Oryctolagus cuniculus: one gene and its partners. Each later gene encodes a partner of the first gene's protein in a complex. Links are inferred from orthologs where the notes say so. Each region holds a gene or a part of one and is shown in the gene's direction. Other genes may lie near its edges.

Region 1 (3,500 bases):
CGGGGGGCTCTTAGAGGGTCCGGGCAGTTTCTGTCTGGGAGCACCCAGACTGCGGCAGACACTGGGCAGATTCAGCTGGAGACGATGATGCAGGGAGATGAGAGTGAGGACCAGTGGGCAGCATCACTGTTGTTCAGGGTGCAGGTGATGAGCACCAGGGAAGACCTGGGCCCAGGTGGGTTCATAGTCCCGAGCAGGGTGGAAGCAGTGGGTGTAGAAGAGGAGCACACATGAGGGAGGCTGCAGAGGAGAAACAGCAGAATGGCCTCTCCGGGCCCGTACCAGCCAACAGGAAAGGAAGGGGGTCTGGGAGTGAGAAGGGGGTTCCACCTGGAAGGTAAAGAAACAAGGAACAGAGAAAGAAAAATCAATTATTAGTTAGAGGCAGGAGTAGGTTCTGCACATGTTAAGGTTAAGGTGGAAACAGGACATGCAGGTAGTCCTGCCAGGCATGCTGTTGGAGCACAGAGCTGGGGGGTGGAAGAGAGGACAAGACCTGCATTATATGAGTATAGGGGAGCCGCCTCCCTGGAGAACACAAATCCGAGGACCCGTGTGAGGTCATAAAGGAGAGGTAACAGGGGAAGAAGAGGAGCTGTGTCATGGAGGTGTTGCACCTCTCTCAGCTCAGTGTATAGCACGGGTCATGTGTCCCGTAAATATGACTGTGTGATGGAGGAGGTATGGGGATAAGAATACTTGTGGAGGTGGGAATTGTGTCCAGAAAGAGAGAGGTTGTTCTTATTATTATGGGCTATGGTCAAGGCAAGGAGTAGACCATTCAGTGCAGCAAGTAAAATGTCTTCATGACCTGAGATAGGGTAGGATGAAACCAGGTTGGAAGAGCAGGACAGGGGGAAATGAGAGAGGGCGCAGAATGGAGGCAGGGTGATGGGAAAGGCACAAGACACAAGACACAAGAAAGCTTGTCACCAGTAGGGAAAGGCATCAAAAACTCAAGTATCAGGAAATGTAATTGGTGTAAGGTGGGTCCAACATGAAACACACAGCAAAGACAGACGGGACTGGTTTTCTTCCAGATGAGGAGGGGGAAGCGAAATGGGAGAAGATGCAGTGGAGAAAGAGGGTCTGGTTGGGCTACCTGGTGTCACTGTCGGTGAGGACAGACTCCTGGGGGCCTGTGGAGTGTAGACTGGGTTTAGGAGTAGGTAAATTAGGAATTTGACAAAGAAGAACAAGAAATGACATGGCTGAACTTAACCTGATTCCGTAACTCATCTTTGCATGTTGTCTCTGCTTTCTTTGGCAATATCTCATAGCTGGGAATTAGTAAAATAGCATCTACTGCTGTTACTACTACTGTCTTAGCAGTGCTGTGCATAGGTTTAGCCCAACTTAATTAACGAGCATCCCTGTCTCACAGATGTGCGAACTGAAGTTTAAAGAAATTAAGCAGTTGTTGGCATCACAAAATTAGAGAGAGATCTGGGATTCAGACCCAGACCAGGCTGGAGTCAATAGCGCCCAGGCAGGGACAAGTGACCAAGAGGGTTAGACAGGCAGAAGAACCATGGGATCAGCAGCCACGCAGGCATGAGGTTCCTGTGAAAGGTCAAAATTAGAAGGCAAAGAATATTTGATCCTGGGGATGTCTGAAATCCAGAGAAACCTTCTCAGTGCTCTGAGGGTCTGGGGGGAAAGTACAGCTGAAATGGAGCAAGTGAGGGTGTTGGGTCTAAGAAAGCAACAACCTAAGAAGAACAGGTTTTAGAGGCTGCCAGCGTAGATGCTGAGCCTATTGGACCAGCTGTGAATCCTCCATTGACCTCACATAATCACAGCTTAATGTCAGTATAACTCTAGAAGGCAAGTATAAATTGGCTCTGAATTAACTCTCTCTGGGCATTTTCCTGAGTTTCTGTCCATTTGCAGATACAGTTGGAAACTGACATTGTTTTGTGTGCTTTCTGATGTGTTAATGGTCTTATGCTGTGGTTTTCAAAAGGATAATCAATGCCTCCCCCTGCCTTTCCAGCCTCACCTCCTACCACACCCTTCCCTGAGACTAGGCCACCCGCAGCCCCGGATTGTGCTCCTCTTCCCGGATCCTTTGCAGTGTACCACCTCAAAGCCTTGCCCTGTGCTGTGCCCTCGGCCTGGAGTACCCTTCCTCCGAAGCCTTAGCTATCAAAATCCTCATCCTGCAAGGCTCAGCTCAAATGCTGCCTCGTCCTCTGTGAAATGTGCCCTGATCTCCCCGGGCAGGTTCCATCCTTCCCTTCTCCCTGCTCCCACGTTGAATACCTGCAACCTTTTAGTAGCTTATTTCATCCTGCCGAGTGATGTACTTGGTTGTCTTTATCTGTTTCTTCTCCCTGAGCTGTGAGTTGCTTGCTAATGATACCATACTGTCCATTTTTTCACATTGCACTTTGGCTAATAAAGTACATTACCCTAAAGTTTTTTGGGGGAGGCAGAGATGGTGTTTTGTTCAGCTTTATAATCTCACATTAATTTGCATATAGATGTACAAGAAATGGCAATTACAATGAATTTCTGCTATTCAAACTCCTGTTTCTCTAAAAAGGAGCTAAAGCAAGCATGATCCAGTATAGGGCCTTTGTCCCTGTGTCCACCTAACCTGAACTATCAGTTAATTATCTCATGAAATTTCATGACATTTCTCCTCCACTGAAAACCCAAATCAGATTGAAAATGGGGGTGGGGGGTACCCGGGACCTCTTAAGAGTGAAAATAGACTCAGAATGTAAAAGGCACACAACCAGATGCAACCGAATAAATATGGCCCCCTGGCTTGTTTGAATAGAGAGTTCTAGATGTCCAGACAATGGCTTTGTGAATAGGCTGTCAGGTTTTTGCCTCCACTCCTGGAGATAAACAGTGAGCATCTAGCACTCAGGCCATGCTGAGACAGGGTCCTTTGTAGCCGTGTGTGCCCACGGCTTTTGGAGAAGAGGTGCCAGTGTTCGCTTCTGCCTTAATTGGTCACAAATCACAATGTAATGAGAGGTCCTTTATGTTATTCCACACAAGGGTGAAAAGGTGGAGGGCCTACAAGCACAAGCCCTGTATCCTTGGAGAGCCAAAAAAGACAACCATTTAAATTTTAACAAAAATGATGTCATCACCGTCCTGGAACAGCAAGACATGTGGTGGTTTGGAGAAGTTCAAGGTCAGAAGGGTTGGTTCCCCAAGTCTTACGTGAAACTCATTTCAGGGCCCATAAGGAAATCTACAAGGTATTTTTGTGTTTATCTGCTTCTATTTGATGAAAATGTTATTGGGCATTAAATTGTTGTTTGTGCTTGTTAAGATTCACATATGATAGGAGTTGCAGGATTATTTTATTCTATCTTCTGGATCATTCACCTGCAGAATTTGCAGAATATGAAATAAAAATGGAGCCTCTTGCAAATAAGTGTTCATTTTTTCTTCCTCTGTGGAAGCCTGTCCATCTTGTTTTCCTTGATTACTTATGCGGGAAGGAATTGTACTCTGAGACCTGAAGCATTCGGTTG
Region 2 (3,500 bases), on another chromosome or scaffold:
TCTGGTTCTGTTGTGTTTCTGGTCCCTCCTGGGTCAGACACTGGACAGGGCTCGCTGGTGAGCTGGGTCCCACCACCGAGCAGGTGCTCCTCAGGGGGGGATCTGGTCACAATGACCTGGGTGGGGCCTGGAGCCTGCCCTGGGACCAGCTCTGTGACCACATAGTGCAGAGACCCTCCCCCGACCCCCACCAGAGCCAGGGCTGGGGCCGCAGAAGCGCTGGCCCTGGAGGCAGGTCATGGTGGGACAGAGTCTCGGCTGTCCGGACCACTTGGTCCAAGTGCACGGAGTGAGAGGGGGCCAGTAAATCGAGGGCAGGGGCCTCGGGGTGACCACAGCTTGCTGGGCTCCTGGAGGAGGTGGTGAGTCAGGAGGGTCTAGACTGGGGGGGCGTAGGGGCGGTCGGCGATGTCCTTCGGGGGCGTGGCCTCTGAGCCTCTGCTCCTGCGCCCTTGACTCTGCCCTTGTCCCCAGACGGAGCGGGATGTGAGCGTGCGGCAGCGAGCCGTGGACCTGCTGTACGCCATGTGTGACCGCAGCAACGCCCAGCAGATCGTGGCCGAGATGCTGAGCTACCTGGAGACGGCCGACTACTCCATCCGAGAGGAGATCGTGAGTGGCCTGGGCCAGGCGGGCCGCAGCCAACCGTGTGCTGAGTTCCTTAAGCAGCGCTGTCAGTCTGCAGCGTGACTTCGGGCTCCCTCCCGGCAGCTGTCCTGGGCGCCGGCCACTTCTGCCACTCGGGTCCGAACGGGGCTGCCGTGGTAGATGCCGGGTGTGTCTGTCACAGTCGCGGCCTGGGGTCTTCCTTGTCTCTGGCGACCCAGAGGCCGTGCGCCGTGGTTTGTGTGTGCACTCTGTGCCCTATGCCGTTCCTATCCTTGGAGCAGATGCACACGCCAGGCAGCTCAAGGTGAAGACTGAGTGAGGTGGGGTCTGAAAGGCAGGGCAGGCGTGTGCAGGGTGGCGCCAGCTCCCCCGTGGGCTCCCCGGTTCTGACAGTGGACGCTGGGCTGTCAGTGGGGAGCCTGCTGTGCCGTCCTGGTTTAAGAGCGGTCAGTGCTGCCGGAGCCGCAGCCCCTGTCCACTACGGGAGAAGCATCGCCTCATTTGTCTCTTTGGATGCCAGTGTGAGAGCCTTTGACTGGGAAAGCCGGGTGGGACTCAGCCTCAGGTCACTGTGGGAGTGAGGGCCTCGGTGCCCAGGGCATCGTGGCCACATTGGCTGAGCTCCAGCGGGAGCCTGCGGCTTCTGAGAGCAGGGATCCGGGAGCGACTCTCACGCTGCGGGAGGGGTGCGTCGGGAGGGGTGGGACGTGGAGCCAGGGGCTGGGCTGCGCCCAAGCAGGAGGCTCCAGGACAGGTGGGGTGTGGGGCGTGGCCTGGAGGCCTGTGTTGGGCAGCGTGGGCTCTGGGGCTGGTTGTCCCGGGGGTATTTTTAAAGGGTTTTGTTATTTGAGAGACAAAGGGTGCTCCTTTTCACCAGTTCAGTCCCCAAATGCCCACAACAGCCAGGGCTGGCCAGGCCAAAGCCGGGGACTGGGGACCTAGCCTGGCGGTCTCACGCGTGGATCCTGGGCCATCCCGTGCTGCATGATCAGGAACCGCGGTGGCACTGACCCCCGGCCCCTGGTGCTGGCGTCTCAACAGCTCTAAGTTGTCTGCACTTGACTGCTTTAGAGTGATGTGTTGTTGATTAGTCGTGGAGGTTTTCAAGTCTTACTTGCGTGTAAATGGCACGTGACAGTGCTTGGTGAGTTTCATTCAGTGCCGGGATGTGCCAGGCGTGTTAAAGCATGTGCTGTGCCGTGGGGGCCAGAAGTAGGCGTGGCCTCAGATCTGTGTGTGCTGTGGGGGTGGCTGGAGGCCAGGTCCCCGTGGGGCTAAGGAGGAGGTGGTGTCAGGTGCGGCTGTGTCGTCCTTTGCCGTTGCGGCCTTTCCTGCCATGCGTGCCCCGTCACGCCAGCGAGGCGTGTCTCCTGGCTCAGTCTGCTGTCTGCACGCCTCCAGACCCCTGCCGAGACCACGTGGTCCTGAAGGCCCGGCTGGACGCTGGGGGTCCGCAGGCACCTGCCCTGACCTGCCCACCCCCGCAGGTGCTGAAGGTGGCCATCCTGGCCGAGAAGTACGCCGTGGACTACACGTGGTATGTGGACACCATCCTGAACCTGATCCGCATCGCGGGCGACTACGTGAGTGAGGAGGTGTGGTACCGCGTCATCCAGATCGTCATCAACCGCGACGATGTGCAGGGCTACGCCGCCAAGACCGTGTTCGAGGTGAGGCCCGTGCCGCGCCGGGGCTGGGTGCAGGAGGCCGCCGCTCGCCTCCCTTCTCGCTCCACCACGTTCTGGACGTCGGCTCGTCCTCCGCTTCTTCCCACCCTGGTCCCCCAGCTGCTGGCGAGGCGCTGTACGTGCTCCCCACGCCTTGCAGTGGGCCCGCGTGGCGGCCTGGGTCCCGCACTCTAGCGTCAGGCTGTTGGGAGCTTGGGGCGTGAGTCCTCTCCGAGTACGCCCTCCAGGAAGGTGGTCTGAGCTCTGTGCGTCTGTCCGGTCGTTGTGGCGGCCTCTGTGGCTGCCCCGTCCCTGTCCCTGTGCCATGTGGAGCTCCTGCCCCAGCTCACTGGCTGTGGTTTCCAGGCCCTGCAGGCCCCGGCGTGCCACGAGAACCTGGTCAAAGTGGGCGGCTACATCCTGGGGGAGTTCGGAAACCTGATCGCTGGGGACCCCAGATCCAGGTAAGGGCCCTCGGCCCAGGGGCTGTGCTGCCGGCGCCCCCGGCCAGCCTGGGAGTCCCAACACCCATCTCCCTTGGGATTCACATCTTTGTATTTTCCTTGTAGTTGGGAGCGCAGGGATGGGATTGCATGGCCAAGATTGCGAGGGGGAGGGGAGGATGGAGTCCGAGCTGGAGCCAGACACATGTGCAGCAAAGAGGCTCCTGGTGCAGAAGCCCCACCCCGTAGACAGCATGCGGCCTCCGTGTTCCTGGTGCAGAAGTCCCCCCCCCCCCCCCAATTATAGACAGCGTGTGGCCTCCATGCCTGGTGTAGAAGCCCCCCCCCCCCCACTGTAGACAGCGTGCAGCCTCCATGCCTGGTGTAGAAGCCCCCCCCCCCCCCCCCCCGTAGACAGTGTGTGGCCTCCATGCCTGGTGTAGAAGCCCCCCCCTGTAGACAGCGTGTGGCCTCTGTGCCTGGTGTAGAAGCCCCCCCCCCCCCACAATTGTAGACAGCGTGCGGCCTCCATGCCTGGTGTAGAAGCCCCCCCCCCCCCCCCCCGTAGACAGTGTGTGGCCTCCATGCCTGGTGTAGAAGCACCCCCCCCCCCCCCCCCGTAGACAGTGTGTGGCCTCCATGCCTGGTGTAGAAGCACCCCCCCTCCCTGTAGACAGCGTGCAGCCTCCATGCCTGGTGTAGAAGCCCCCCCCGTAGACAGCGTGTGGCCTCCATGCCTGGTGTAGAAGCCCCCCACCATTGTAGACAGCGTGCGGCCTCC
Region 3 (3,500 bases), on another chromosome or scaffold:
TTTCCAAACCTGATTTGATCTAATAGTTCTTAATCTCTGTCACCCCGTCCTACTGTCCAGTTAACATTTTACTCACCACAAAGTCAGTGTTTCACTTCCCCAGTTCACCGCGTTCCCGCACTCCCCTCAGCCAGTGCTATTGAGCCCCCCCCCAAAACATACGTTAAATTTCTTCACTTTTACTATCAACACTGCTACCGTGTTGGTCTAGGCCATTGCTTTGATAACTGTAAAGGAAGCGGGGGGAGTACTTATAATTGAGTCTTTCTCTTTCATATTTGCCTCTCAATAGCCCTTTTTCTGCACTGCAGCCAGAATTATCTTTAACACATGAAGGATGTTATTTTATTCCCCTTCCTCCCCCTCCTGAGACCCTCGTTAAGCTTTCCATCACATGTAGGAAAAACCCTGAGAACTCCTCCCTGCAGCCCATAGTGTGCAGCTGACTGGTCCCCTGCTAGTCCAGGTTTGTGTCCGCCCATTCCCTTACCCCAGCCACGAACTCCACATGGGCCACTCTTGCTGCCTTGTAGTCTTCAGAGGTGCCAGAGTCCTTCTTGACGTGGTTGCCCTTGCTGCTCCCTCTCCGTGGTCTACGGGGCTACACGGCTAGAGTGCCCTGGCAGTCAGTGTCAGAGGGGTCTTCAAAGCCTTAGAAGAATGGAAGGAGGAGGAAGCAACCAGCCCACTGTGGGAGTTTTGGGGAAACCTATGTGCTGGACCTCACCCCATGCATAATATTAATAGCTATTATTGTTTATTTCTAATCTCTTCCGTAACCCAATAAGGAGTGGGGGAGGCATATGGCCTAGAGTTTAAGATACTAGTAAGAGTACCCAGGTCCCATATTGTTTAGTACCTGGGTTTGATGCCCAGTTCTAGGCCCTGATTCAAGCTTCCTGATAATGTGGACCCTGGAAGACAGCGGTGATGCTCAGGTGGTTGGAAACTGGGATTAAGTTCCTGGTCCTGGCTCTGGCCTTGCCCAGCCCTGGCCTTGCAAACATTTGGGAAGTGAATCTGGATGGAAGCTCGCTCTCTCGCTCTCTGCCTCTCAAATTAGAACAAAACAAACCCTACAGGACAATATTATCAGACAAACCGCTCACTCAACAGATACTTGAGTATCTACCGTGTACTAGTGTTGTGCTCTTTTCTAGGTTCTGGGATATAACATTGATCAAAACAAAACAAAAAACAAACAAACAAAAAACCTCTGCTTTCATGGAGCTTATATTCTAATGGAAAAAAGAAAATTGAGTTTCAAAGATGTCTTATAGTTGCTTTCTCCTAGAAACAAACTAAAGCTGGCTCTAACCTCACAGAAATGTTATCCACTCATCCTATGGGAAAGAGGGAGAGGGTGTGCTGGATAGGAGGGCAGCCTGGTGGAAGCATAGAGGCCAGATATGCTCAGAGAACAAGGAGTGGAGCACCAGGCGACTCATGAGGACCAAACTCTGTAGGATCTTGGTTGCCATTACAAGGACTTGACCTTGTAGAGTGGAAGAATTGGTCATCATGCGTGGGGACGGTCTAGTCAAGCTGGGGTACACCAAACAACTTTCATGGGCCTCTGTGACTTTTGTGTGAGGACAGCAATCCATTTAAATATATTTTAATTATATAATTTTAATTATATAATATATTTAAATAAGACCTGTATTAAATATTTAAACATATTTAAATAAGACCTGTATCTCTCCTGCTTTGTGCTCACACACATTATGGACTGGTCATGTTGATACTTGTTAAGTTTTTCCCTGAAATTAGGAAAGCATTGCCTTTTGCTGGTCTATGCAAGGCATACTATGGCTTCAGAGTAGCAAAGAAATTTTCCTGGAAAAGCTGTCAAGAATAAGTGGACAGGTTTTTCCTCCCTCATATTTTTAGATAAGAGGTAATTTACTTAAAAATCTGGTTCTGGAATATTCTGATTGGTCGGCCTAAGGCTTCATCCAGAATCTAGGTTTTGAGTAAATGTTTTAATAATGTTCATTAAGTTATTCTTAGAAGTGACCTATTTTCTTGCTTTATTTTTGTTTGTGTAACGTGAAGGTATTTTATTTACACTGAGATTGTCAGTTTGAAAGACTGTACAGTCTTAGGTCATGGTTTGAACTGATCTTGGACTTGGGAAAGCTGTCAGGACTATTTACTAGAGAGCCGCGAGATGCATCCCGCCCCTGCCTTGGGAAGCAGAACTTAACGGATTCTCCAGCCTCTCTGCTGAGCCTCTGACAGTTTCTTCTCGGGTTTAGCGGTCTCGTGGGCAACATCGGGGTGGCTGGTACTAGCAGATTCCTGCTGTCAGGGCTAATTGCACCACCACAATATGTGTGTTTAGATAAGCCCAGTCTCCACACTGAAGTCAGAGCACAATAAATCCAAAGCTTGATTGCATTCAGTCACTTCCTGTCCCACAATTTCATTCTTTTGCGCACGTGTTCCAGTGACTCTGGATCAGCCCCAGGCTGTGCTCAAGCCATCATCTAATCCATGGACATTGCTCTCTGCACTCTCACAGCATGCACCTCCATGCAGCCCGCTGGTCACAGGTCCAGTTCGGCGCCATCTATTTTGCCTGTGCTTCCCACGTCATCATGGCTCTGTGTTTCCATCCCACGTTGACTTCCCCGTCTTCCAGGGAGTGGCAGGAAATGCAGGCATCACGTTGATCGACTTACCAGTAGACACAAGAGCTGGAACCAAGGGCCTCGACTTCCAGCGTGGTGCTCTGTTCACCAAACCTGATTGCCTCTTGAAGATTCAGTTTCTTCAGTTTTTGTCGTGATTTTATTTTGCTCCGTTTTTGAAAGTAAAACTTCACTTCATTATGATAGTTTTACAGCATTAAAATTTTTCTGTTTCTCAAAATCATTTCAGTATTTTGATCCCCAGTTTTTGTTGTGATCAGCGCACACCTGCTCCTTATCTAACCTTTTTAATTTTGTCCATGACCATCCCACACTGCAGGCTTCTCAACCAGATGAGTTGACCATTGAGGAGCATGAGGTGTTAGAAGTGATTGAAGATGGAGATATGGAAGACTGGGTGAAGGTATATTCCTTTGCTCATATCGCCCCTTCTTGTGACATTTCTAGGAATTTGCTTTGGTTCTTGTCCTGCCCTGTCCAGTTCATGTGTGCAAACCTGTCTTGTGACGTGTCTCTTACCCAGGCTCGGAATAAAGTTGGCCAGGTGGGTTATGTGCCAGAGAAGTACCTGCAGTTCCCCACCTCGAACAGCCTGCTGAGCATGCTGCAGTCCCTGGCCGCCTTGGACAGCCGCTCGCACACATCCAGCAACTCCACAGAAGCGGAGCTCGTCTCGGGCAGCCTCAACGGAGACGCCAGCGGTAAAGACTGAGCGTGGCACTCTCTGTTTGTCACCTTCGACCTAAACCGTGTTACCCTGCAGGTTCAAAAGCACAGCTTTATTCCTACCCCACAACATGTTTTCTGGTATTTGGCCCTGTTAGTCCTAGATAGTGGAACCCT

Evidence for each region. The genes of interacting proteins can lie anywhere in the genome.
Region 2: the proteins of ITSN1 (region 1) and AP2A2 are in contact, whole or in part, in a crystal structure (PDB 3HS8), measured with the Mus musculus proteins. The link is inferred for Oryctolagus cuniculus from reciprocal best matches to the Homo sapiens genes ITSN1 and AP2A2. Residues at the interface, in NP_034717.2 of Mus musculus: Asn841, Trp843, Ala844, Phe846, Ser847, Ser848; in XP_006536218.1 of Mus musculus: Glu308, Gly320, Val321, Glu324, Gln329, Gly331, Leu332, Lys333, Phe346, Gly348, Asn349, Lys350, Gly386, Ala387, Gln388.
Region 3: the proteins of ITSN1 (region 1) and FCHSD2 are in contact, whole or in part, in a crystal structure (PDB 6GBU), measured with the Homo sapiens proteins. The link is inferred for Oryctolagus cuniculus from reciprocal best matches to the Homo sapiens genes ITSN1 and FCHSD2. Residues at the interface, in NP_003015.2 of Homo sapiens: Pro1076, Ile1078, Gly1098, Leu1100, Leu1102, Gln1117, Ala1118, Arg1119, Gly1120, Lys1121, Lys1122, Arg1123, Leu1136, Ser1137, Pro1138; in NP_055639.2 of Homo sapiens: Tyr576, Gln581, Thr582, Asp584, Glu585, Gln602, Asp603, Asp604, Asp605, Gly606, Phe607, Val618, Pro620, Val622, Leu623.

What each region holds. Positions count from the first base shown.
Region 1 is NC_091435.1:11,213,116-11,216,615, reverse strand, and holds part of ITSN1 (intersectin-1), read left to right. Parts: intron 1-3,015; coding exon 3,016-3,221; intron 3,222-3,500. UniProt on the Homo sapiens protein: Adapter protein that provides a link between the endocytic membrane traffic and the actin assembly machinery. Acts as a guanine nucleotide exchange factor (GEF) for CDC42, and thereby stimulates actin nucleation mediated by WASL and the ARP2/3 complex.
Region 2 is NC_091432.1:473,252-476,751, forward strand, and holds part of AP2A2 (AP-2 complex subunit alpha-2), read left to right. Parts: intron 1-474; coding exon 475-612; intron 613-2,096; coding exon 2,097-2,279; intron 2,280-2,642; coding exon 2,643-2,740; intron 2,741-3,500. UniProt on the Homo sapiens protein: Component of the adaptor protein complex 2 (AP-2). Adaptor protein complexes function in protein transport via transport vesicles in different membrane traffic pathways.
Region 3 is NC_091432.1:64,227,226-64,230,725, reverse strand, and holds part of FCHSD2 (F-BAR and double SH3 domains protein 2), read left to right. Parts: intron 1-2,976; coding exon 2,977-3,060; intron 3,061-3,180; coding exon 3,181-3,358; intron 3,359-3,500. UniProt on the Homo sapiens protein: Adapter protein that plays a role in endocytosis via clathrin-coated pits. Contributes to the internalization of cell surface receptors, such as integrin ITGB1 and transferrin receptor.